4 linked regions of the Schizosaccharomyces pombe genome follow. The protein of the gene in region 3 purifies or fractionates together with the protein of the main gene of each other region. This does not show direct contact. Each region holds a gene or a part of one and is shown on either strand. Other genes may lie near its edges. The genes, in order: cut20, cut4, mad3 and apc5.

Region 1 (5,857 bases), on a different chromosome or scaffold from region 3:
GTATGGCACAATCCCCGTTTTTTGCCATCAATCTTCGCATCACAAATGGTATGTTCACTTTAAAAACTATGTTTGAGAGAATCTATATACGTTCACTCATTACTAACCAATTATTTTAGGAACTATTGACATCAATGTATCTCCAGACAAAAAATCTGTATTTTTGTCTGAAGAGGATTCCATAATTGAATTTATTAAAAACTCCTTGCAAAACCTATGTGAAAGCTGCGGACATGCAATTTCTTGTTCCAGATCGCAATCCATTTTTTCATATTCCTCGCAAATTCCTGATTCCTCTGGAGACAGTACAGATCAGGAATTGCCTCAGTCAATTCCAGCAACAGAATCCGAAACAAGTGATGACTCAAGTTTTTCTTATAAACGCTCACCATGTAAAAGAAAGCTCGTAGAAGCTACTGCTCAACCAGCAATATCCACTAGTGTTGCAGAAGGAGCGTCATTAGCACAAGTATCCAAACCTTTGCCAGAGCGTTTGCAAAAGGATTCTATGAGACGAAGTAGCCCATTAAACGAAAAAGTTACGGCCTCTTCCGAAAGAATGAAGAAAAAGCTTGCCCTATTCGCTTCTAGTACTGATACTTCTATGCAGAAAACAATAGACTCTAGTTTCCCACTAAAGCAACCCATCAATAAACCTAGCTCGAATCCTAACAATTTGTTACTAAATGATCCAAGTCCAGCATCAACACCTGTTGCTAAAACAATTAATTTAAACGAGATTGAGTCGGTACACAACGCAGAATCAGTTTCCACACTCTCGAGCATTCCTCGTACTGAGCAAACCAGTGTTGCGAACAGAATTCCGTCAAAAACTGCAGCGCTACAAAAGCTCAAATTTTTTCAATCTAGGCCCTTGGATGGTTTAAACAAGTTTAGTAAAAAAATAAATATATCTTTGAGTGGAGTGCAAAAAGATATTGTTCGAAGCGATGCCTTACTGAAATTTTCGAACAAGATTGGCGTGGTGCATGATATTTCAGATGAAAATCAGGAAGATCATTTGAATCTAACTGTACATAAAGCCGATTTTTTAAGAATGAGGGTTGTTGGTCAATTCAATAGAGGATTCATAGTGGTTGTTCATGGAAACAATTTGTTTATAATTGATCAACATGCCAGCGATGAAAAGTTCAACTATGAACATCTCAAAAGTAATTTAGTTATCAACAGCCAAGACTTAGTCCTTCCAAAAAGACTGGATTTAGCTGCTACAGAGGAAACTGTTTTAATTGACCATATAGATTTAATTCGAAGAAAAGGATTCGGCGTTGCTATAGATTTAAATCAGCGAGTTGGTAATCGCTGCACTCTTCTTTCAGTTCCCACGAGTAAGAATGTCATTTTTGACACTAGTGGTAAGTTTATTAACGAAGATCTTGACCTTTAACTTCTGTAGATTTACTAGAGATCATCAGTGTGTTGTCTGAGCACCCACAGATAGACCCATTTAGTAGTAGGCTTGAGCGAATGCTTGCTTCAAAGGCTTGTAGAAGCAGTGTCATGATTGGTAGGGCTCTAACTATATCCGAAATGAATACAATAGTTAGGCATCTTGCTGAGTTGAGCAAGCCTTGGAATTGCCCTCATGGAAGGCCAACTATGAGGCATCTCCTTCGATTAAAAGATATATAATGCGTAAAAGAAAGACTTTTTTAACGATTCTAGAATTTCAGCTATTGAATTAATGAATAATATTGGTTTATTTACAATGTATTTAAAACATAGCAATCAGCAATTATTAAAAGTGAATCTCTTATTGCCAAACTCAATTGAAATTTTTATCATTAAAGAATTATTTTAAGCGAACTTGAACCATGAGGAAATGATTTTTCTTTAGATGTAAATAAACATCGTACTAACGAGGTATGCACAGTTGGATAATCGCTTTCTTAATGTTTTGTATCCCTACAACTTTCATCAACTTCAGTTTTGCAATATCAGTCTTACTTCCTAATAAACCATCTATGCTAGCAAATTTAAAAAGGTTGTATGATAATTGTTGAAACTATCCATTCACTAGATATTTTATATACCTGAACAGGCTTTTATTGACTTGCTGTACTACAATAAACAAACTTCTACGAATCACCAAAATCATCCAGTCTTATCCAAATGGTGTCAAAATCTTTCAAATACCCTAAAAAGCATAAATTTGAATGGATTAATGAAACTAATAGAGTTGAAAGGGTTGGAAGTGGCCTTAAACGAGTAATCTTATGCCCTTCTATGGAACTCATTGCGATATTAACGTGTTCAAATCATTTGATTTGCTGTAGAAGTAACAGTCAAAGAATTTGGGATGTCGATTTTCATGATCTCGAGGCTACTGAATTGTGTTGGAATCACGATGGTACGTGGCTCGACTGGAAAACTTTTTTTGTATCATTAACATAAATAGGGAATTTAATAGTTGTTGGATTTAAAAATGGAGAGCTTAAAATTATTGATTCCTCCACAGGACATCTGGTTGAGCAAAGGCCAGCTTCCAGAGATTTAGCGGTTCTAATGATAACATGGGCCATGCAAGAAACGATAGTAAATGAAAAACGCAATGATTTTTTATTTGATGCCACTGCATATATGCCTTTACTTGGTACACTTCCTAGTTCGGCAAAAGAGTAAGTAGTAACACAAAGCGACTTGTCTCTTACATTTTTTAGGGAACGTATATTTTCTTCAAAAGCAATCGCACAATTTTTTGAGCCGAGGAAACGAGAGGGTGAAAATAACAAAAAAGTTGAGCTCTTAAGTATTTTGGATGAACGTGGAATTAGATACATAAAGTGCGTATCAAAAACCCCTTATTTATTAGCATCTTTCTAAAAGAAGTTTTTTTATCGATCGATACAAATTAGAAGTACTAACTATTCATAGTATGTTTTCGTCTTACAAAATCGGAGAAAGCGATTCTTTGAAATCAGCCTTGAACTTGGTATTATACCCATGTTATTAAATGTCTTGCTCACACAAATTATAGGGGGTTCCCATTTCACACAGCATAACCAACGACTTAGCATATCATGTTCTTATTTGTAAAGGAGGAACGAATATTTCTTTGAAAACACTTTATATGCCATTACTTAAAAATGATTTGGGAAGTATTGTGGATATTGCAACAATGTCTACACGTATGCAACATTTGGTAAGATATCTTGAGGAGGTATTGAATGCTATGTATGAAGAATTTGACAATGTCTTCAAATCAGAAGCTAGCTTTATTAAAACCTTTGATGCTTTAGTGTCCAAGTACAGTGACACAACTTTCTTTTCTTTACAACTAGAGTTATATCAATTTATAATGAACGGTATACCCAGCGACTTACTCAAAGAATGGATCAACGAAAGAGTCGGTGATCGAGTACTAAAAAATTGGGAACGGGCGATGGTGAATTCGTACACGTCCTTAATCATTTTCTGTCAGGAATTCGTAATACCTGCTTGTGAAAGGTTAACTGTATTATTATCTTCTGCCAGAGGAAAGTCAATATGGGGCCATATGAAGGGAAACACATTACTAGATGCTAAATTGGTGGAAGATTGTCTAGCAACTTTGGGTTATTTACAGAATAATGTTTTTTCGTTTCTCAATTGCCTTTTTGAGGAAAAAAAGTATATGAAGCACTTTATTTCATGGTTGAATTACGCTATCGTCGAGTTTAATACTTCTGAACCATCTTCTATTCCACCGCAAGAGATTATTGAACATATTAATGAAACCGTAATTTATATTCGTCATTCTTTATTCCGCTCGAAACTAACAAGTTACTTTATGGGCACAAAACCCCTTCAGCTAAGAGATCCTGATTATTATTCTCTCAAGGATTTTGCAAATCAAGACGACAGTAATTCTGTTGATGATTTCGTATCATTCAAAACCTTGAAAGAATCTTTAAGAGACTCATTCAACGTCATTTTTAGCTACCCTTCTTTAACTTGTCAAAAGCAATGGTTAAAAACCGGAGACCTTGTTTTGTTTGAAGGGACTGATTGGAATGTATCATCTCTTATACCAAAATCCTGTAATGAAAAAAACCAATTATTTTCATTATTCTTTCGAAAGGATACTCCGAATATATTCTTAATAATTTCCCAACTTATGGAAAATACTATGTTGCCTGTATCTGGATGCCACTTTGGCTTGGATTATGCAGAATTACTAGGAAGCAGTCTGTTGGATTTCCAGCCCGCAACTGTTTTAGACATGAAGCTTTTAAACGGAAGTAGTATTTTAATACTTGGAAAACTAAAGGAGAAGTGCTTCTTATGTGAAATTTGCTTAGCAGACGTTCCCTTAACCTTTTTTGAGCACCAGCAAAAAAACAGTTACCTTGATGCTATCAGTCATCTTCCTTTCATTCCACTAAACAGTTGCCTATGGCTGCATGAATTTGAGAAGGATTTCCTTCCTTCAACACTCGAATATGCCCTTTCTGAGAATAGCGATTACGGAGTCCTTATTTCAAGGGAATCTTCGAGATATCGTTTATTCTCTTTTTAATGAGCTTATGTTTAATGGTCGTAATGTTTTTTTTTTCTTGTTTTTGAAGAGCAAGTTACATTTTTTGTAGCGGTCTTTTAAATTTTCTTTTCTTTTTTTTAATTCTTTAATATAATTTAAAAGCAGAAAATTTATACAATATTTTCAATTGCAATAACTTCATTTAGAAAAGTCAACATATAACGAAGTTTTTTACCTTCTGCTATAAGTTTCCTTGATACACTGACTTCTTCTCTCAGCGAGGATCGTGTTTCAGCTAAAGTATAGAGATGGACACCTTCCCTTCTCTGTTTCTATATTCCTTAACAATACAGAATAGTAATTATGTTCAAAGTTCGTGTGCCGCGTCCTTGTCTGGTAAAAAGGCACAGGAGATAGTAATTGCTACAGAATCAAGGTTGCTTATATATAAAGTTGATGCAACTGATGGGAGAATGAATTGTATTTTAAATCAAAATTGTTTTGGTATTATTCGAAATGTTGCTCCTTTGAGATTAACTGGTTTTAAACGCGATTATCTCGTAGTCACGTCGGATTCAGGACGAATAACCATTTTGGAATATAACGTTGAAAAAAATAAATTAGTGCCAATATACCAGGAAACTTTTGGAAAATCAGGAATTCGAAGAGTTGTTCCTGGTGAATACTTAGCCATAGATGCGAAGGGGAGGGCCGCTATGATTGCATCTGTGGAGAAAAATAAGCTGGTTTACGTACTAAATCGAGATTCAGAGGCTAACCTAACAATATCTTCACCACTTGAAGCTCATAAAGCTAATAATATATGTTTCCATTTAATTGGGTTAGATACTGGTTATGCTAATCCCATCTTCGCTGCCTTAGAAGTCGACTACAGCGAAATAGACCATGACTCAACTAGAGAAGCATTTACATCTTCGGAAAAGGTTTTATCATATTACGAATTGGATTTGGGATTAAACCATGTTGTCAAAAGATGGTCGAAGGTCGTTGACAGAAATTCTTATATGTTAATCCCTGTTCCCGGTGGTAATGATGGGCCCTCCGGTACACTAGTAATATCTAACGGATGGATTTCCTACCGTCACCTTCAGAAGGCATTTCATCAAATTCCCATTTTGCGTCGTCAAGCTGCATCGGCAAACGCCATATCCACTCCATGGAATCAAGTCAATTCAAACTCTGCAAATGATGGTCCTTTGATTGTTAGTGCTGTTCTCCATAAAATGAAAGGATCGTTTTTTTATCTTTTACAAACTGGTGACGGGGATTTGCTGAAGCTGACAATCGAGCATGATGGTCAAGGGAATGTTGTTGAACTAAGGTTAAAATATTTTGATACAGTTCCCCTGGCAGTTC
Region 2 (8,135 bases), on a different chromosome or scaffold from region 3:
AATCTGCTATGTCCACAGTCTTGAGATGATTCATAAAGCTCATTCTCTTTTACAAAGCTCCTAGCTTGATAATTTTTAGGATCTTGATTATCCGTATTAAGGGCTTGCCCATGATAATCGGTATCAACATGAGACTCATGTCTTGCAAGCCCTGCGTAAGAAACGTCAACTGGTTTTTTGCGAGAAACAGCTTTTGCTTTGACTATATTCTCTTCTGTTGAGAGCATGTTTGTATTTGATTCACCCTTATTTGCCATCCGTTTGGCCTTATCAATTTTTTTTCCCAATAAATACACATTTTCAATTTTTTGCCAATTTTCTTTTTTCATCTTGAAAAGTTGCTCGAAAATAGTAAAGACAATCAATAATATTATTCCCTTAAAGGGGAACTACTTCCATACAGAAAAGATGTTGTACTGGATCATTTATAAACTCCCATGACATGTAAACAGATGTGAATCCCTGACAATTGAGAGCCATGTTTTAAACCGTTAAAATTTTTAACGCGCTTTACCGATGTTTTATATGCTCTAAATTGTATGTACAAAGAATGAAATATCTTGTGAACATAAAGGTTATTTAAGAATTTAGGCTGAGATATTTTATAGTGAAAGCATAAAAACCGTTTTGTATACATAGCCGATTATTCTACTGTCTATACCAATCATTGTCTTATTTTAACCATTGGGTATTGAAACCGAGTTCTATTTACTAAGAAAACACTTAGTATAATTCTTTTTTTTGTATTTGTCTGAGAGATTAATCAAGTACGAACTAAAGAAATCTCTTGTCATATATTTTCCTTTGTGTAAATAGCTAAGGATGACTGTTACAATATTGCCCATAGCGTTCTATAACTTCTGGTGGATCAATCGCAATCATTTTTCATTTCAAAGAATTACTAATTGGGTCTATAGAAAAATCATTTCTTTTTATTTCAGACTATTTTGTTTGTCATTGAATTTCCTACATTAGCTGCTCTGGTTTATTGTATCATTAACTTTTAACATAAAGAACCTCAACAAGTCATGCTAATTTGACATTATAGAATGTAAGTATATTAAATTATGATAAACTATTTATTGCAAAAGCAGGATGGATAGTACATTATAGAGCATAGAAATTGTTGCAAAGAAATCCACAGTTTATTATCTAAGATATTTACTTTATGGAGATATTAATTTAGAAGGCTCATAGCCGTATTTTTTTGCATTATAAGCCATTTGTTTCACTGGCTTTATATAGTCAATATGCGACTCATAAATTCATTAGAGTTATTCTCTCGCGAAAAATCATTGAAATGTGGGGCCTGATCATTGTTGTAGATTTAAGCAACATATAACCGAAGCTAATGAGAACAAATTGAAGCAGAGTTTTTCTGAATACCAAATACATTTTTGATACTCCAGGGTTGCAGAGTTTTTGCCTTCAGAGCCCATTGCAAGTATGTTCGGTTTCTAAGGGTTTCCTCACTTCATACATAGTTAGATTTGTTCCTCAATTCTTAATTTTTCGCTGACTTCGTGACGCTTTCTACTATAATCATGTTACAAACTAATATATAAACAAACTAGTGACCTTTAGGATTAAACGAGAGGCAAGCACAAACCACTTGTTCCATTCAAGTTACTGCAATATTTTTATGGAAGATATTAGAAAATTAGCAGAATACTCACCAAGTTTGTCACAATGCAAGACGATGGCAAAAGATCCTTAAGCTCATTCCATATTAAAAATGTCGTAAGTTAGTAAAATTTAAAAATAGTCAAGTCCTTCATTTTGAAGTTTTTTGTTTATTACTCGACCAAAAACAAATTGCCTTGCAATCGTTACCTTTTATGCTTTAGCACCTATAATTATCCTGTAGACAGAAATTACCTTTTATATAGCAAACATTATTATACCCAAATAATATTTAACATTGAAATCTTCATAAATAAATGAATAAAGTATGGTAAAATATTATTTACATCCCCCTATACAGCTATATGGCTCAACCTTTATACAGTAATAAAATGTCTAAGTAGTCCTGCATGTTATGATAGAAACACCCAAAGCCTTCACTCTAAACTTCAAGGAATTTACTGCTTGCTTTTGTCGTACACACTCCTATAGTAAGGCATCTTATATTCCATATGGATCCTCGACACTGGGGATGTAAGTACTGACTTGTAGTTTGAAATGGCAAGTCGGTCGTCTATATCGACATGATTTTATAACTAAATTCCTGTAAAAAAGAGAAACAAAAATGATATTTTAATGCATAAAACAATTTCCCGTTAGAGTATTTTTAATTATCAGTATTCCAAAAAAAAGATTTCTAGTCTTCAAATAAACCAATGCGTGATAAATACTGGAATTGGGGAATATAAAGATCCAAGTTAAATTTAATTGATTTTGTAAAAGCACTAAGTTCTGTAGGTTGACTTTTTAATTGTCTAGCTAACGTAAGTTTGGTAAGAGATGCTGGTTTGTTTACACTAGATATACGCTGACACTCAGATTTCACCTACAACTTCATGCTAAAAAGGAAATGCGAAATTGTAAACGGAACTGAGTTATTGATTATCGTTACTAGATGCTGAAATGCTAGAATTAAAAACAAATGTTATTCAAGACCCTGAATTAAAGGATTCATTAGATTTGCAAGAGAATGATCGGGTTGAAATCATTGGAGATGCTGTGCATTATATTGTGAATGACCATTTAAATCGTGTATTTAATTATACCGTAGATCAACAAAAGATACATGCTGCCCTTATTACTACATTTGCATCTGGAAAAAAGGCAATTGTTGTGATTCTGGACGACATTGGATATGTATACTATGTGGGCGACAATAATAATGATTCTTATATTATAAACGTTCCTTTTTCAACAGAAAGCGCATGGAGTTCACCAAGTGGACTATATCTTCAGCGTCATCGTTCGAGCGATGAGAATCTGAATACTGACTTGCCTCATATTTTTTGTCTAAACGATCCTTTAGATGAACTTACGTTAATAAAATTTGACGGAAAAAAAATACTATCTCTGTTTGATTCAATCGTTTATGTCGTGGGAGAGATCGTCGTAACACATAATAAAAAAGAAAAAAAATTGAGTTTTTGGAGGAGTCGCTTTATTGATCCAGAGTCAGACCAGTCAATAAAAAGCTCACGTAACAGAAGAAGGGAAAGCTCTTTTTCTCGTGAAAAGAATCCTGACTTAACTCGCTCTGATTCTATCCATTATACCGCCAATACTCGTCTTTCTGAAAAATTCGAGGAACAAGGACTCGCTTATTCGACCATATTTTCTCACATAGAGTCTTTTCCTATCACCGGAAGTACTTCGTTTGATTCAATCCTTGGAAATGGTGTTTTGGTCATCACCACTTTAGTGAAAGAGCTTGAAAAAGGCTACATGATGTTGTTTCGCCTTGTTCGTGACAGATCTCCTTACTTCTTAGATTCGCTTCAACTACATGCAATAAATTTGAGTGCTATTAAATCTAAGCATTTGCAAAAAATTGTTGTTCTGTCTTCAAAGGGGAAGGTGAGTCTCGAGTCTCCAATGTCGCCATCTTTGCCTATTGAGGGTACCTTTCGTTCATTTCGTGTGCATGGTGCCACACTTTACTTAGAGGACACCGATGGAGTGCAGAGGTATATATCTCTAGATAACAGAGCATCCAATAGCTTGGTAAAATGGTGTTTAAGTGTTATTCGTTATGTTTTGCCCTTGCGTGAATATGAAATTTTTTATACTGGACATCTTTACGCGCTTTTTGCTTTTAAGCTTAGCCATGATGAGGCTTTCATATCTTCAATACTCGCCTGTTTCACTTTCTTTTCTCGAGATAAAGTTCATGTTGAACCAATTGAAGATTGCAATGAAGCTTACAGTCTGTCCTCTAAGTTTCATTTTAAAAAAGAAATACTTATTGCTTCTCAGCTCTCATCTCATCTTGATTACTCAACATTCAAAAATTACTTGATGCCCTTAGCTATTACCTTACATTTTATATCTGAAGAATTGCGGTTGGATTCGGTTGTAAAGCCTCGTAAAGATCAGCTTGTAGCTTTATTACTTCAAATCACCACGTGGTTGAAGTGGCCACGGTATTGCGAGTATTATAACTTTGATATCGCTGAAACATTTCTATCTATACCCTTATCGATTCAAGTTGATGTTGAGGAACCTGTTGGTCCAACATCGATTTTACAGTGGATTATTGAATGTTTAAGGTCGCAATCTACAGTACCTTTTTATGGCTTGGAAAGTTATGGGCTACCACATTCTTGCTCTACTATGTTTCCCCAAACCCTTTCTTTAATGCAGTTACTCGATTGCTTGCTAAATCCTAATATGACCCTTCAAAACTTAGTTGAAGAAATGGTACGGTTAGGAATTTCAAGAAAGAGGTGTGAAAGATACCCATTTGGAATTTTATGCATTATTTTTACAGTACTCGAGATTGCCGCTGAAGAGTATTCTCCGAATTGGGAAAGCGAAGAGCTTCGATTAGTCAATCGCCTTGACGTTGATTCATTCTTACATCCAAAGACACCTAAATGGGTTTTTAATAAGCAGGATCAAGAAGTCAAAGAAATAAAAGCACTCACTAGTACAGTTACCGATTCTACACTTGTTGACACGCAGTCGTTTCATCCTTATAAGGTTGTAACGGATATGATTTTTAGAGAGGATCGACGACTGGCAGAAGTGAATAAACTTTTAAATTATTCAAGTCAAATCACCATAATGACTGAACACTTTGATGTCGACTTGAGTTCAGTACCAATGCAACAAAAAGTTGCTCAATGCATTTGCGTTAGAACATTGTCCGTGCCAATTGGAGCGGGTATGCTTACGTATGGTAGTAAAAATCCTTTACCTACGGAAAAGGTCACTCCACGATTATTTAATTTTACATTGCACTTGCATCCTGGAACTTTAATTATACAACCTAATAAAGAGTTCGTAACACAGGAATTAACCGAGTGGCCAGAGTTTAATGTTGGCGTTGCATTAGGATTATCGATATCTAAGTTTTCAAAGGAAATAAACACTAGTTGGATTATGTTCAATCGACCTGAAACTTTGACTGCTTACCATGCGGGATTTCTTTTTGGTCTAGGGCTAAACGGTCATTTAAAGGCCCTTGCTACCTGGCATTCTTTTATTTATCTTACTAGCAAGCATGATACAACCAGTATAGGCCTTTTACTTGGACTTGCATCCTCGTATTTGGGGAGTATGGATGCAAAGGTTACAAAATTGCTAAGTGTGCACATTTCAGCATTACTGCCAGTTGGATCTAATGAATTGAATATTTCACCATTAACTCAGACTGCAGGAATTCTAGGAATTGGTTTATTATTTCATGATTCGTGTCATAGACGCATGTCTGAAGTGACCATGGAAGAGATTTTGGCTTCTAATGAAAGCGAACTAAAGAATGAAGGCTATAAGTTAGCTGCTGGATTTTCTCTTGGTTTAATTAATTTAGGGAGAGGATCTAATCTTCCAGGCATGTCTGATTTAAAACTCGTTTCAAGGCTACAAGTGGGAATATCTAGTCAGGCTACATTTCAGTCTTTAGAAGCCGGTTCTCCCGGGGCCATTATGGCTTTGACTATGATATATATGAAGACTAATGATTTGGAAGTTGCGAAAAAAATTGATATTCCTAAATCGCGATATCTTCTTGATTTCTATCGTCCAGATCTAATACTTTTGCGAGTTGCCGGTAAAAACTTAATTATGTGGGATGAAGTCAAAGCAGATTATGAATGGGTGAAATATCAAATTCCTGATATAATGCTCTCACAATTTGATTTACAGGAAAAAAAGGTTCTCTCTTCTGACGACTTGCTGCTTTATAATGTCTTAGCAGGGATTTGTTTTTCTTTAGGTTTAAGGTTTGCTGGAACGGGTAATCCGAAAGCCAAGGAAATTCTCATCAACTTTTTAGATAGCTTCATTCGGTTGTGTCATCTGCCTGCTAAAACACACGATGAAAGAGTAACTGCAGTGACTGTAATTCGCTGTACACAAATTGTCGCTTTGTCTTCTTCTTGTGTTATGGCGGGTTATTGTGATCTAGATGTTTTGAGAAGGTTAAGAGTACTACATGGGAGAATGGAGCCTGTGAACTACGGGGCTCAAATGGCTACTCATATGGCGCTCGGAATTCTTTCGCTAGGTGGAGGAAGGTATAGTTTGTCTCGCAGTAATTTAGCAATCGCGGCTTTGTTAATATCATTTTATCCGCAATTTCCCAGGACTACTCAAGATAATCGTGCACATTTGCAAGCTGCTCGAAATTTGTGGGCTTTAGCTGTGGAAGAACGTTGTATTATCCCGAGAAATCAAGATACCAAACAGCCATGCATAGTGCCATTAAATGTTGTTCAAAAAAGCGGCGCAGTTCAAAAACTAGAAGCGCCTATACTTTTGCCGCCGTACGATAGCATTAGTTCAGTGTCGACGTTGGGTGATAAGTATTGGAATTTAAAAATTGATTTGGACAATAACAGTGATTACCGTGAACTATTAAGGGAATCACAAACACTGACACTGATGCCTTATGACCGAACAAGTTCAAAAGAAGAGCCACTTAATCTATTCCCTAAGCTTAAAGATACCTCAAGCCCACTTTGGAACTTGGTAAAAACAAGCAGGTTGTTCCAAAGCTCGAATAGCCCCTTAAACGTTGCATCGTTACAAGAATCAAATAATAAAACTTCTCTAGGCGTTAAATTACTCCTGTCTATGGACTTTGATAATTTAACTAGAGACCGTTTATTAAGTTTGCAAATACTGTTACAATTTTTTGAGTCTTGTTGGACTGGTGTGCTCTTGAATAAGTTTCACTCCCGTCAATATCTTTTCCTTTCTCGTGATTTGGTAGAAGATTTGAGTTTGAGAGTATGGGAGTATGTGTATTCTCATAATCATAATGAAGAATCTGTATAATTATGAACTACGTTTATTAATTATATGATATGCTAATGGGCTGAATGGTTTCCAAAAATCTTTTCCATCATATCAATCCTTCAAAAGGAAAATTGAAGTTTAAAAAAATAGAACCCCTTAAAATTAACGACTTGTATAAATACCTTAATGTCTCAATTAATATACAAGGTGGCATATCCAATGCAACACTTTTTTCACGATCATGATTAATAGCTATCTTCAAATAATGGTTTGTTAAAAGGAAATCGAAGTTAATAATAAATTGTTAATTGGAATACTGATGCTCAAACTATTTCACTGGGCAAAGTAAAAAGAATATTATTGCGACAACTACTAAGCACCCATGGTTCTTCAAGGGGTAATACCGCCTGTCTCAAGGCGCCGTTGAAAATAGATTAGCTTTTTTATCCTTTTTCTATATCTTTTCCCTCCTTTCGTTAATTAATTGATTTAAGCATGACACTTCGAGCTACTAACTAACACTATATCGTTGTATGCTGTTTACATAAGTTCTTGATGTTCGAATCTATGACTTTCGAGTAACGGTTCCAAATATTATAATTTAATGAATTACACCCGATAATTAATACACTGTATTAAACCATCTAAATCCACCTGACGAATTCAATCTTAAAATTTAAATAGAAGTCTTTAAATCCGACATGCACTGAGATGCTGAAGTTTTGTAACGATCTACATTAAATTCCCCTATTATAATTTACGTACGATTATTCGCCTCATTAAAAATTCCTTCGTTTTTGAGGGGTAGTAAGGGCATGACTTCAACCTTGCATCCTATGACACAACACTTCTTTCGTTAGCAAAACACAAATTGAAGCTTGCGAACGCATAGGAAGTGTGAATAGCTCGTTTCTCGAAAGCCGCTAATTCTACAAAAGCTTTCTGTATCAAAAAGACTTGTAGTTTTACTTAATACACCTTTGGTTCTGCGCTAAGAGTGAAAGGCTCAGTATTGTTGTGAAAACCGTGAATCTGTAACGTCGGTTTATGTTAATTTGTATTTTTGAACGCTTGCTATAACTATTGTTATCTATTTTTGTCTGCTATAGATTATCTTTGAAGGACTCAGAGTCGATTTAGCTTATCTTCTTATTTTTTGTCTCAGGTGTATCGAATTATCGTTCGTGTTCATTTGTACTTTTGGAATAACA
Region 3 (4,309 bases):
AATATCGTATAAACGGGTCCTATAAGTAGCCGCCGAACTTGACATTAGTTGAATTGGACTAACATGATTGAGAGATTAAAGATTGCTAAGAACAGACTTGAAGCTATGAATTCTTTTAATTTTCCCGCCCAGGATAGACATGAACGAGCCCCTCTCTTGGGATCAGAGTATGACCACTCTATGGCTCGTCAGTTGTCGCTTTTAAACGTGGTCGGCATGACCAAATCTGTTTTGATGTCTAGCTACTTTAACTTGATGTTGGTATTTGTTCCGATCGGCTTAATTGCAGGATGGTTTGAATGGAACGCTAAATCTGTTTTCATACTTAACATGCTTGCTATTATCCCCCTTGCATCCTTGCTTAGCTTTGCTACTGAACAACTCTCTATAATTAGCGGACCAACATTGGGAGCATTGTTGAATGCTAGGTAAGATTCCTACTTTATCGTCTTCTTTTGTTATTTTATTAACACGTTGTGTACAGTTTTGGAAATGCCATCGAGCTCATTGTAGGCGTTCTTGCTTTGAAAAGAGGAGAGCTCCGCATCGTTCAATCGTCCCTTCTCGGATCAATATTATCCAACTTGCTTCTTGTTTTTGGAATGTGTCTCGTAACTACTGGTATTCGTCGTGAAATTACCACATTTAATATCACTGTTGCACAAACTATGATTGCAATGCTTGCTTTATCTACTGCTACCATATTGATTCCTGCGACTTTCCATTACAGCCTTCCCGACAACGCTAATAGCGAAAATGCGCTTCTCCATGTCTCTCGTGGAACTGCTGTTATTGTACTCATCGTCTATGTTTTACTTTTAGTTTTCCAATTAAAGACTCATAAGCATGTCTGTCATGATCCCAGTGAAGTGGAAGAAGAAACTGAACCTCGAATTTTAGGCCTTCGTTCATCCATTGCCATGCTTGCTATCGTCACGGTTTTTGTTTCTCTTTGCGCAGACTATTTAGTAGGTTCGATAGACCAATTGGTTGAGGAAGTTAACATTTCAAAAACTTTCGTTGGTTTGGTCATCCTTCCTGTTGTAGGAAATGCTGCCGAACATGTTACTGCAATCGTGGTATCTTACCGAGGACAAATGGATTTGGCTTTGGGTGTTGCTATTGGTTCCAGTATTCAGATTGCTTTGTTTTTAGCTCCCTTCTTGGTAATCGTCGGATGGATCATCTCCCAACCTTTAACACTTTACTTTGAATCATTGGAAACAGTTATTCTATTTGTGTCTGTTTTCTTGGTTAATTACTTGATACAAGATGGTGCTACTCATTGGCTTGAAGGTGTTCAATTACTTGCTTTGTATGCGATTGTTGTTCTCGCCTTTTTCTACTACCCTCAATAAATTTTGTCGTTCCCTCGCTAGTTCCTTATTATGTCTACTCTTATGTGCTTGATATACTCTCTTGATTTCTTTGTGTTTTACTTTACGAAACTATCATACCGAACTTATTGATTTCTTATTTTTTTATACTAGATTTTTTTTTTTTTTGGTTTCTGTTACAAGGATATTTTGCAGACTTATTTTTTAGTATGCAAGTGTTAAATTATGCAGAAATCTCCCATTTTCGCAATGACTACACAACTCTAAATTTCTATTGCAGGTCAAGCCAATATCTGCTTGTTTACAGTAGCTTTTTAAGTCGCTCATTCTTCAGTCTCAGTTTCATGTGTCTTACCAGCTATGAAAATAGAAAATTAATTTTTGAATAAACTCTTGTAAATCGTTGTTTATAAATCTTCATTTTGTTTATTTTTATTAGTTGTTTTGTAGGTTGTGTTTTACATGATTTAATAATACAAGCCATTAGTATGTGAAGTGGTTAATTTTAATTCTTCTTCTGTTTCTGTATATTCGAAGAAACAGAAAAAACTTCTTATCTCTTTCATTGGACTCTTCCAGGCGTAAGTATGATACCCTCCCCCAGCGTCAAGTTGGCACTTACCTTCTAATTTACGCACAATCTTTCATACATTCCTACTCTTGCTCTTTGAGTGTTGACACTTTTAATTTTATACAAAAGCTTTCAGTACACCTTCTATTAAACTATATACTGGCTATTTTCGTTCTTTCAATAGAATTGTACTTGTCTAAATAAACTTTCCAATACTACTACACTCACATCTCCTTCTTTGTTTTATTTATTTTCATTTAGTGGAAGGTATAGGGTTCTCTAGAAAAGGTTTACTAATTTTTTGGAAGACATTGACTACAAATGGAACCATTAGATGCTGGCAAGAACTGGGTGCATATGGATGTCATTGAGCAGTCCAAGGAAAACATAGAGCCTAGAAAAGCTGGTCATTCAGCTTCTGCACTTGCAAAATCTTCGTCGCGAAACCACACCGAAAAAGAAGTTGCTGGTCTGCAAAAAGAAAGGATGGGCCATGAACGAAAAATAGAGACGAGCGAGTCTCTTGATGATCCACTACAAGTTTGGATCGATTATATTAAATGGACCTTGGATAATTTCCCTCAAGGTGAAACAAAAACTAGTGGACTGGTAACATTGTTAGAAAGGTGTACTCGAGAATTCGTACGAAATCCGCTTTATAAAGATGATGTTCGGTATTTACGAATATGGATGCAATATGTAAACTATATAGACGAACCGGTTGAATTATTTTCTTTCTTGGCACATCATCATATTGGACAGGAGTCCTCGATTTTTTATGAGGAATACGCAAATTATTTCGAGTCTAGGGGATTGTTTCAAAAAGCTGACGAAGTTTATCAGAAAGGAAAAAGAATGAAGGCTAAGCCATTTTTGAGATTTCAGCAAAAGTATCAGCAATTTACTCACCGTTGGTTGGAATTTGCCCCACAATCATTCTCTTCAAATACAAATTCGGTTAATCCTTTACAAACGACATTTGAGTCAACAAATATCCAGGAAATATCCCAGTCTAGGACTAAAATTTCTAAACCTAAATTTAAATTTTCTGTTTATTCAGATGCGGATGGTTCTGGAAAGGATGGCCAACCTGGGACCTGGCAAACTCTTGGTACAGTTGATCAAAGGCGTAAAGAAAACAACATATCGGCTACTTCTTGGGTAGGCGAAAAGTTGCCTTTGAAATCTCCAAGAAAATTGGACCCTCTTGGGAAATTTCAAGTTCATTGTGATGAGGAAGTATCGAAAGAATAACCGATAAAGAAAAGATTTAAAGTATTGGCGTTATTAGATTAACAACTATTGTACATCATGACTCCCGGAATAAGAAATAGGTTGAAACATGCGAATTTTAAGGGTTATACGAACTTAACATAAAGCATCTTATTTATACTACGATTTGCAGCTTTTTTTTATATTTTACTCTCAAATTAATTATAGTCAGCCATAAGTTAATGAATATGATATAAATAATTCTTTTATAGACAATTTATCAAAATAATAAACAGATAGCTCGATAAGTAATTACACCTCTATACAAGTAAAGCTAAGACCCCTTAGCTATAAATATTTTAACTAATGAGAAGGCCCCTCAAAAACCACAGAAGCAGCTTTGCCCAAACGATTCATGATAGCTAGCCCTTCATTTTCCTCGGAGACACCTTCAACCAAAACAAAATCAACTCCCTGCAGATCCAAATCTCGCAATTGAGCGAATAAATTCTTTGTAATTTCATGTCCATCCCTTCCCATATGCAAAAATACAAACGGACAGTGAGAAGGGAATGACTCTTCGTTCCAACGTTTACTACATAAAACACCAATCTTCTGCTTTTCCTTAGTGATTCCCTGCTCAGATAAATACTTTTCAAAAACACCGTATGCATCAGATTCTGTGTAATTGACAAAAAGTAGCACTTTGGCAGTTGGAGAGTAGTGTCTGTATTTCATACCAGGAGTTTGAGGGATGAAATCTGTTTCCATATCACTTTTTTTAGCTACGAATACTTTTGTTCGCTCCCAGGCCCCTCCAGAGCTTTGAATTTCTTCTAAACTTATGCCTCCTGGCCGTAAAATTACGGGAGGATCACAAAGTCCATTTACAACTGTACTCTCCACACCAACACCGCATGCTCCCCCATCTAAAATTAAAGGAATTTTACCTTGTAAATCATTGTAAACGTGCTTAGCTAACGTAGGAGATGGCCTTGTTGAAGCATTAGCCGATGGTGCAGCTAACGGCGAATCTGAAATAGAAATAAGGGCAAGCGCAACAGGATGTTGAGGCATGCGAACAGCAAACGTTTTTTGTCCTGCTGTCACAATTGGTGAGACCGGGGGATTAGCCTCGTCAACAACTGGCAGCAAAATTGAGAGTGGACCAGGCCAAAACTTTTTAATC
Region 4 (5,961 bases), on a different chromosome or scaffold from region 3:
TTTGCCTTTAACCAGGAACAGCAATGCCTCATTCTTACGGTATCAGAGCTCGCACCCGTTACACCTTTCAACGTGGTTTCAGAGAGCATGGTCAAATTCGTTTGTCCACTTATTTGAAGACCTATAAGGTTGGTGACATTGTCGACATTAAGGTTAATGGTGCTGTCCAAAAGGGTATGCCTCACAAGTACTACCATGGCAAGACTGGTGTTGTTTACAACGTTACTCAATCTTCTGTTGGTGTCTTGATCTACAAGGTTGTTGGTAACCGCTACATGGAGAAGCGTGTCAATGTTCGTATTGAGCACGTTAAGCACTCTAAGTGCCGTCAAGACTTCTTGGACCGTGTTAAGGCCAATGAGGCTAAGCGTAAGGAGGCCAAGGCTCAGGGTAAGACTGTTCAACTTCGTCGTCAACCTGCTCCTCCTGCTACGGCTCATTTCGTTTCTACTGAGAATAACGAGCCCGTCACTCTCCACCCCGTCGCCTATGATACTACTATCTAGTTTTAAAAAAGAATGCTGTTCCTTTGGAGTTTATCAAATAATCAGACATTATTCGTAGTTTTAATTGTTGTATTTTTGTAAATGCATTTGTACATCGACTTAACAAAGTAGTATATTTATTGTGCTCGTATCCTCGTTTAGTATAAAATATATATATGTACATCTTAGTTAATCATGAGTATCCGTTGCTTAATTATATTTATTAGCTGATTTGTCGTTAAAAGTATGAAGGTATAATCGTATTTAAACGAGTGTTAGTTTAGCAAATTGTCGGAATAGAATCGAGAACAATATTGCTCAATGTTGGGCTGGAGTGCAGGATCATTAATTTGTCGTAAATATTGAATTTTCAGGCGGACAACAGTTTTTTGCATCTCTACCATGTAACAGGCCCGATAACCTATTTAATCATTAGAGATTGAACTCGAAAATCTTGATCAACTTACCATCAATAGCACTATCAAGCAACTGAATGACAAACATTCGTGAAGGCTGCAAAAGGTCAAGATGTTTAATCTGCAAAGAAGCAAATGCATGAAATGCTAATGCAAGTAATGGTTTGTTATCCGCTGCAATTATGTCAGGGATTAGTGAATCTAATAGATCGATAGCTGTAAAACAATCCAGTTCCCCAATCAAGCACAAAGTGCATAATCCTCTCAGAAGATACAATCTTAAATAGTTTGATGAGGCCATTTGAATTATTTCCAGCAATTCAAAAACAGCTCGATTTGACATTTCAGTCCTCTAAACACTCACATTAGCATAAGCCTAAAATCAGCCTTCACCTTACCATATAAATGTCAACCTTTAAAAACATCAACTGCAGCACCCATTCAATCGCCAGTTTTTCCGGTTCTTCCAATAATTTATCAATTCCTTCAATGGCCTAGTAACACGTTTAGTATATGTAGGTACGAATGTTTTGTTAATTACCTGACTTAAATTTCCCAAACTAATATCCAACCTTAAAGCGTAGAGTTGAGTTCGAAAAGTAGACATCTTGTCGTGTCTAAAGCCATTTAAATTTTTCAAATACAGGGTAGCATCCATATGATTTTTCCTTTTCAAAATTAGCAAATTTTCTGATTTTTGTAAACAATGATTTCTTACTCGTCAATCGCCTTAGATAAGTAGATAAATGTTTTTTCTCTGCCATATAAATGTGCGCATTGAAAAGAACGCTGTGATTGAACCTCAGCAGTCGACAAAATTGTAGCAACATCTAACCATCTTCCTAATTCAGCGTACCTCCATGCCTTAGTTATAAGACTTTGTAATAGGTCGAGTGCAGGAGAATCATGGACGTGATTTTTTTGATAGATCGAAATATAAGTCATGGAAAGGATAGAGCATCCTAAACGATACCAAATGCTTTGTAGCAAGTCCATATACCGAGGGAAACCATCGAATGATTCATTAGCACAAAACAAAGCAAATGCCTTAGTCAAATTAGAGAAAACGCCAATTAAACTAGATCCATCATCTAAAAATTTTTGGACCTGTAAGAGATGAACTGTCGTCTGTAATATAGGCAGTTGAGCTTTTTGACTATTACGCGCAAGATGTTCTAGTATTTGATCATCGTTTTCATTTTTTTCTGGAGAAGGATTCGAGTATTGTGACCGCTTAAACTCAAACATCCAGGCCAATGCAAAATTAAGACAAGCAGTATCGCCGCTTTCACGAGCAGTATTAATCGTATCTTCAATCGCATGAAGAGCTTCTTCATTACAGCCAAAATCGGCTTGAAGCATGGCAAGATTGAGGAGAGCGTACTGATAAGAAACCTTTTCATCAGAATGCATAATGTGATCAAAATATCTGCAAAGATTTTCCACGGATTGCTGATAATCACCACTAAACCAGGAATTTAAGAATCTTAGTATGTTAGTTAATTGCTAGCAGGAAAGATGTGCTTGGTATCTTACTTGCAATAATAGCTAGTATTTAGATTGTTTTCTTCAACTTCTAATAAATCATGCAATTTTTCTTTCATTTCCAATGGAAGAGCACATCCAAATTCTGCGTAAATCAGTTAATAAGTGCTTAGATAATATGCATTAAAAAGCTGTTAATATAATTGTTAAAAATTTTCCAATGAAACCTACTTTGCATGTGTTCAATTTGAACTTGAGTGAGTTGTTCAATATCCCGACTAGAACGAGAAACTAGAAAAGTTAGGAAAAATTAATTTCAAATTAACTAAACAAACCTGGTATACTTCCAAATGCCAACTGTAGTAGAGTCTTATTGCTAGCCAAATTCATTAACTCATGACGAACATTAATCTTACAGAATTCAATCCCCTCATGTTGAAAATCCATTGAGGGAGCTCTGTATTGAAGAAATGATTTAAAGAATTGAACCCCTTGTTCGAATGAAAACTGCTCGTATTCCACAACACACTTTCGAAGGAAAATAGATAAAAGTGAAGACGATGAAAAAAGCATATGGGGGGCCTCTTCTTCAGAATCGTAAACACCTTCTATGTAGTTTCCAAGAGAAATGAATATTTCATGAATATCTTCAAAAGAATGCAAGGACCATAGCTAAAACAAAGTTGTTAGAATACAATTTTTGATATGATTCTTTCATACACGTTCATGCAATAAACTGTAAACGCTATATTCTTCAATTGAACTGGGAAGGTGACTTGTTATGTCGTGAATTCGAGTCAGTGTTTGTGGTTGTGAGTCATTGGGCTAGAGATATACAGTTAGTACTCGAGATTAAGAGAATCTTGTTTCAGTCAGTTGTTCTTACATTAAAATATCCCAATACCAAATCTAGGAAGGGCACACAATGTTGAGGTTGAATGATGCGATGGGCATAAAGTTCAATAAGCAAACATAGCGTCAATTTATGTGGTGTCAAAAAGGTAGTATAAAAATTTTTTTTTGAAGAATTTGTTTTTAAAGGTATGGGAAATATTGGTGTTACCATTGACATCGCGGGACTCTGCATGGTTAAATAGGTAAGCAGTACACGATCGTCTCTCAATCCTATAATTTATAGCAATGCACCAAATTTTCTCAATCACAAACAGTTCGAATGTTCTATGTACCAAATAAAACCTCTTTATCGAAGAAGGCTGGAACAGTAATATGTAAATGGCATGTATACGTTCAGAAGTGCGATGGTTGAGTATTATGGTAAGTAGTCTTATGTTTACAAGATATGCTAACTATTCAAGCATTTAAATCTCTAGAAGTAAACGTAAAAATTTAATATTTTTTCAAGAATGATATATTTTCTCGGATATTTATTTCTTTCAATTTGTGTTGCTCCTATGTTCTTCAGTGATATTTGTCAACAATACGCATAAACATATGAACTTACCGAAATTGTGAATGATATATAAACTACCTCAATATAGTTAATAATCATAATCATCAATATTTTTATTTTATTTAAGCATCATTTTTACAGCTTTATCCACGATTGAAAGTGGTCTTCATAAATGTTCGTAAACAAAAATAAACAAACGGACAAAAATAATAATAAAAAGCTTGAGATATCAAATTTTATAAGAGATTTTCTTTATTCTTTATTTTCTCCTTGTCATCTTTATTGTTTCTATAGTTCTTTTTTTTTTTTTTTTTCGCAGGCACACACAAAAAATTTATTTACTATTGGGTTAAATTGAGTAATAATCATATGAAAAGTTTTATTTAAAAATCACTCACGTCTCTATAAACTCATGTTTTGTTTGGGTATTAATTGTGAACTGTGAAGCATTAATTTCAAAAGATATTCATTATGATGCATTTTAAAAATATCATCAATGCTTAAAATAATGCTATTTAAATAAATCCAATAAAATCGATTAACCTTTACCTTTTAAAAGTGCATATTTTTATTTATATGGTTTTTTAAAAATATGCATAAGTAGGCATAGAATTCGGGTGTCATAGCTGATAGTAATAGAGTAATTGATTGAAATGATGAAATATTGCTTTTATTCTTTTTTTTTTTTTTTTTTTTTTTAATATACACAAAGCCCTTTTAACATTTTGACAATTATCAAATTGATTTGCTGACCAACATTTAATGACAGAAAGGTAAATAAATAAATTTTGGGAAGAAAAAGAAAGCACCATTTCAGTTGTAGTAGACTTTCGTTTTGTATTACCTAAACGAATGCAATAAAACTAGCTCTCGAAGTTTGTGAATAAGAAATGTTAATTGGGTTATATTTGTCTATAAGTAAGGTAAGTTAAATTCAAAATTGGAAATCAAAGAAATACACAATCGAAGTATGGTTAATCTCTAACGTATACTCTAAATGCACTAAAGTCCCTATTGTAAATTAAATGCTAGGCATTTTGATCAAGTAAGCGAACGATCGAAGGAAAAAGGATAATCATACAAGCGTGCAAGTTCAAATGATGTCTAAGCTACGCTTAATTCTATTCATTTTTTAAATTTATTAAAATATTAGCTAAAGTTTTTCTACTAATTCATCTTACCCCTCTACACAACGCTTGGGTTAAACAGTTAAATCTTCGACAGGAAGCCTCGCTCATGAAAAGCACTTTCAACTTGAAATGTGGACATCCACGTGGGGATATCAATAATAAAAGTCAGTTTTAACAACATTCATTAATATTTTTCTATTACACAAGTAAATCGTAAGCACTCGCTTACTTGTAAAATTTTGAAACCAAACTTCTTTTTCCGTAGAGAAAAAGTTCTGCACGTTTCCTGAAACCATGAATGCAGCTATCCGTTCCCCTTCAAAATCATTATCGCTGTCGGGAATTTGTCAATATGCTGGTTAATAGATCCCCCTTCGTAGCCGGATATAAAAAGCGATTTGAACTCTTTCAATTTGGCAGCGTATTACCGGATTGAGGGATCCGAGGACTTAGCGAATTCATGTATATATAAAAGAAGGGTTCCTAGTCAAATTTTATTTTAGAAGTTAATGCAATTTCTTGTTATTTTCAGTATCATATAATAATAAAGCACCATTATATTCTCTAAACCAAAAATAAAGGATGCAAAACCATAGACATCGTTAAATTCCCTAAGGCATTTGTAGCTACTAGTTATACCGATGTTGAAGAACTTCATTAAGGACGCTAATAAGAGAACCTGACGTAATGTATCCTATTGTTATTTGCGGCATGTGAGCTCCAAGTTACCCAAAACCAAAGTATTTAGGCAAAGTTCAATATCTTCAAAATGAGTGAATCTCAAACAGAATCAACAACTGTAACATTAACAAATGGAATGGTTATACCAAGAATTGGTTTCGGAGCTTTCATGCTCAAGTACAACGAGTGTTACGGCCTTGTAACTCAGGCGTTGGATTCAGGGTATCGCCATATTGATACGGCTGCCGTGTATGGAAACGAAGACATATGTGGGAAGGCTATAGTAGACTGGTGCGAAAAGAATAATGTCAAAAGAACTGATATTTTCTTAACCTCAAAACTTGCAAACTGTA

The links.
Region 1: the proteins of mad3 (region 3) and cut20 purify together in Schizosaccharomyces pombe (affinity purification with western blotting; 7 studies listed by BioGRID, with this or other methods). This does not show direct contact.
Region 2: the proteins of mad3 (region 3) and cut4 purify together in Schizosaccharomyces pombe (affinity purification with western blotting; 2 studies listed by BioGRID, with this or other methods). This does not show direct contact.
Region 4: the proteins of mad3 (region 3) and apc5 purify together in Schizosaccharomyces pombe (affinity purification with mass spectrometry, with the first as the bait; one study listed by BioGRID). This does not show direct contact.

The regions. Positions count from the first base shown.
Region 1 is NC_003424.3:4,040,696-4,046,552, reverse strand, and holds cut20 (anaphase-promoting complex platform subcomplex scaffold WD repeat subunit Apc4/Cut20), read left to right. Parts: upstream 1-1,928; 5' UTR 1,929-2,133; coding exon 2,134-2,371; exon of another isoform or gene 2,372-2,419; coding exon 2,420-2,639; exon of another isoform or gene 2,640-2,681; coding exon 2,682-2,804; exon of another isoform or gene 2,805-2,824; intron 2,825-2,895; coding exon 2,896-2,953; intron 2,954-2,979; exon of another isoform or gene 2,980-2,998; coding exon 2,999-4,519; 3' UTR 4,520-4,744; downstream 4,745-5,857. Other genes in the region: MutL family mismatch-repair protein Pms1, read left to right, coding at 1-48, 120-1,376, 1,418-1,653; prp12 (U2 snRNP-associated protein), read left to right, coding at 4,789-5,857.
Region 2 is NC_003423.3:388,403-396,537, forward strand, and holds cut4 (anaphase-promoting complex platform subcomplex scaffold subunit Apc1), read left to right. Parts: upstream 1-2,507; 5' UTR 2,508-2,586; coding exon 2,587-6,963; 3' UTR 6,964-7,635; downstream 7,636-8,135. Other genes in the region: protein mug2, read right to left, coding at 1-329. UniProt on the Schizosaccharomyces pombe protein: Component of the anaphase-promoting complex/cyclosome (APC/C), a cell cycle-regulated E3 ubiquitin-protein ligase complex that controls progression through mitosis and the G1 phase of the cell cycle.
Region 3 is NC_003421.2:995,459-999,767, forward strand, and holds mad3 (mitotic spindle checkpoint protein Mad3), read left to right. Parts: upstream 1-1,957; 5' UTR 1,958-2,229; coding exon 2,230-3,162; 3' UTR 3,163-3,381; downstream 3,382-4,309. Other genes in the region: vcx1 (CaCA proton/calcium exchanger), read left to right, coding at 64-428, 485-1,358; SUA5/yciO/yrdC family protein Sua5, read right to left, coding at 3,484-4,309. UniProt on the Schizosaccharomyces pombe protein: Component of the spindle assembly checkpoint which is a feedback control that prevents cells with incompletely assembled spindles from leaving mitosis.
Region 4 is NC_003424.3:3,400,519-3,406,479, forward strand, and holds apc5 (anaphase-promoting complex platform subcomplex scaffold TPR subunit Apc5), read right to left. Parts: upstream 3,625-5,961; 5' UTR 3,474-3,624; coding exon 3,273-3,473; exon of another isoform or gene 3,212-3,272; coding exon 3,107-3,211; exon of another isoform or gene 3,059-3,106; coding exon 2,722-3,058; intron 2,678-2,721; coding exon 2,618-2,677; intron 2,532-2,617; coding exon 2,438-2,531; intron 2,394-2,437; exon of another isoform or gene 2,388-2,393; coding exon 1,620-2,387; intron 1,570-1,619; coding exon 1,443-1,569; intron 1,409-1,442; exon of another isoform or gene 1,396-1,408; coding exon 1,300-1,395; exon of another isoform or gene 1,254-1,299; coding exon 953-1,253; exon of another isoform or gene 907-952; coding exon 761-906; 3' UTR 573-760; downstream 1-572. Other genes in the region: rpl2102 (60S ribosomal protein eL21), read left to right, coding at 24-506; SPOM_SPAP32A8.02 (xylose and arabinose reductase), read left to right, coding at 5,697-5,961.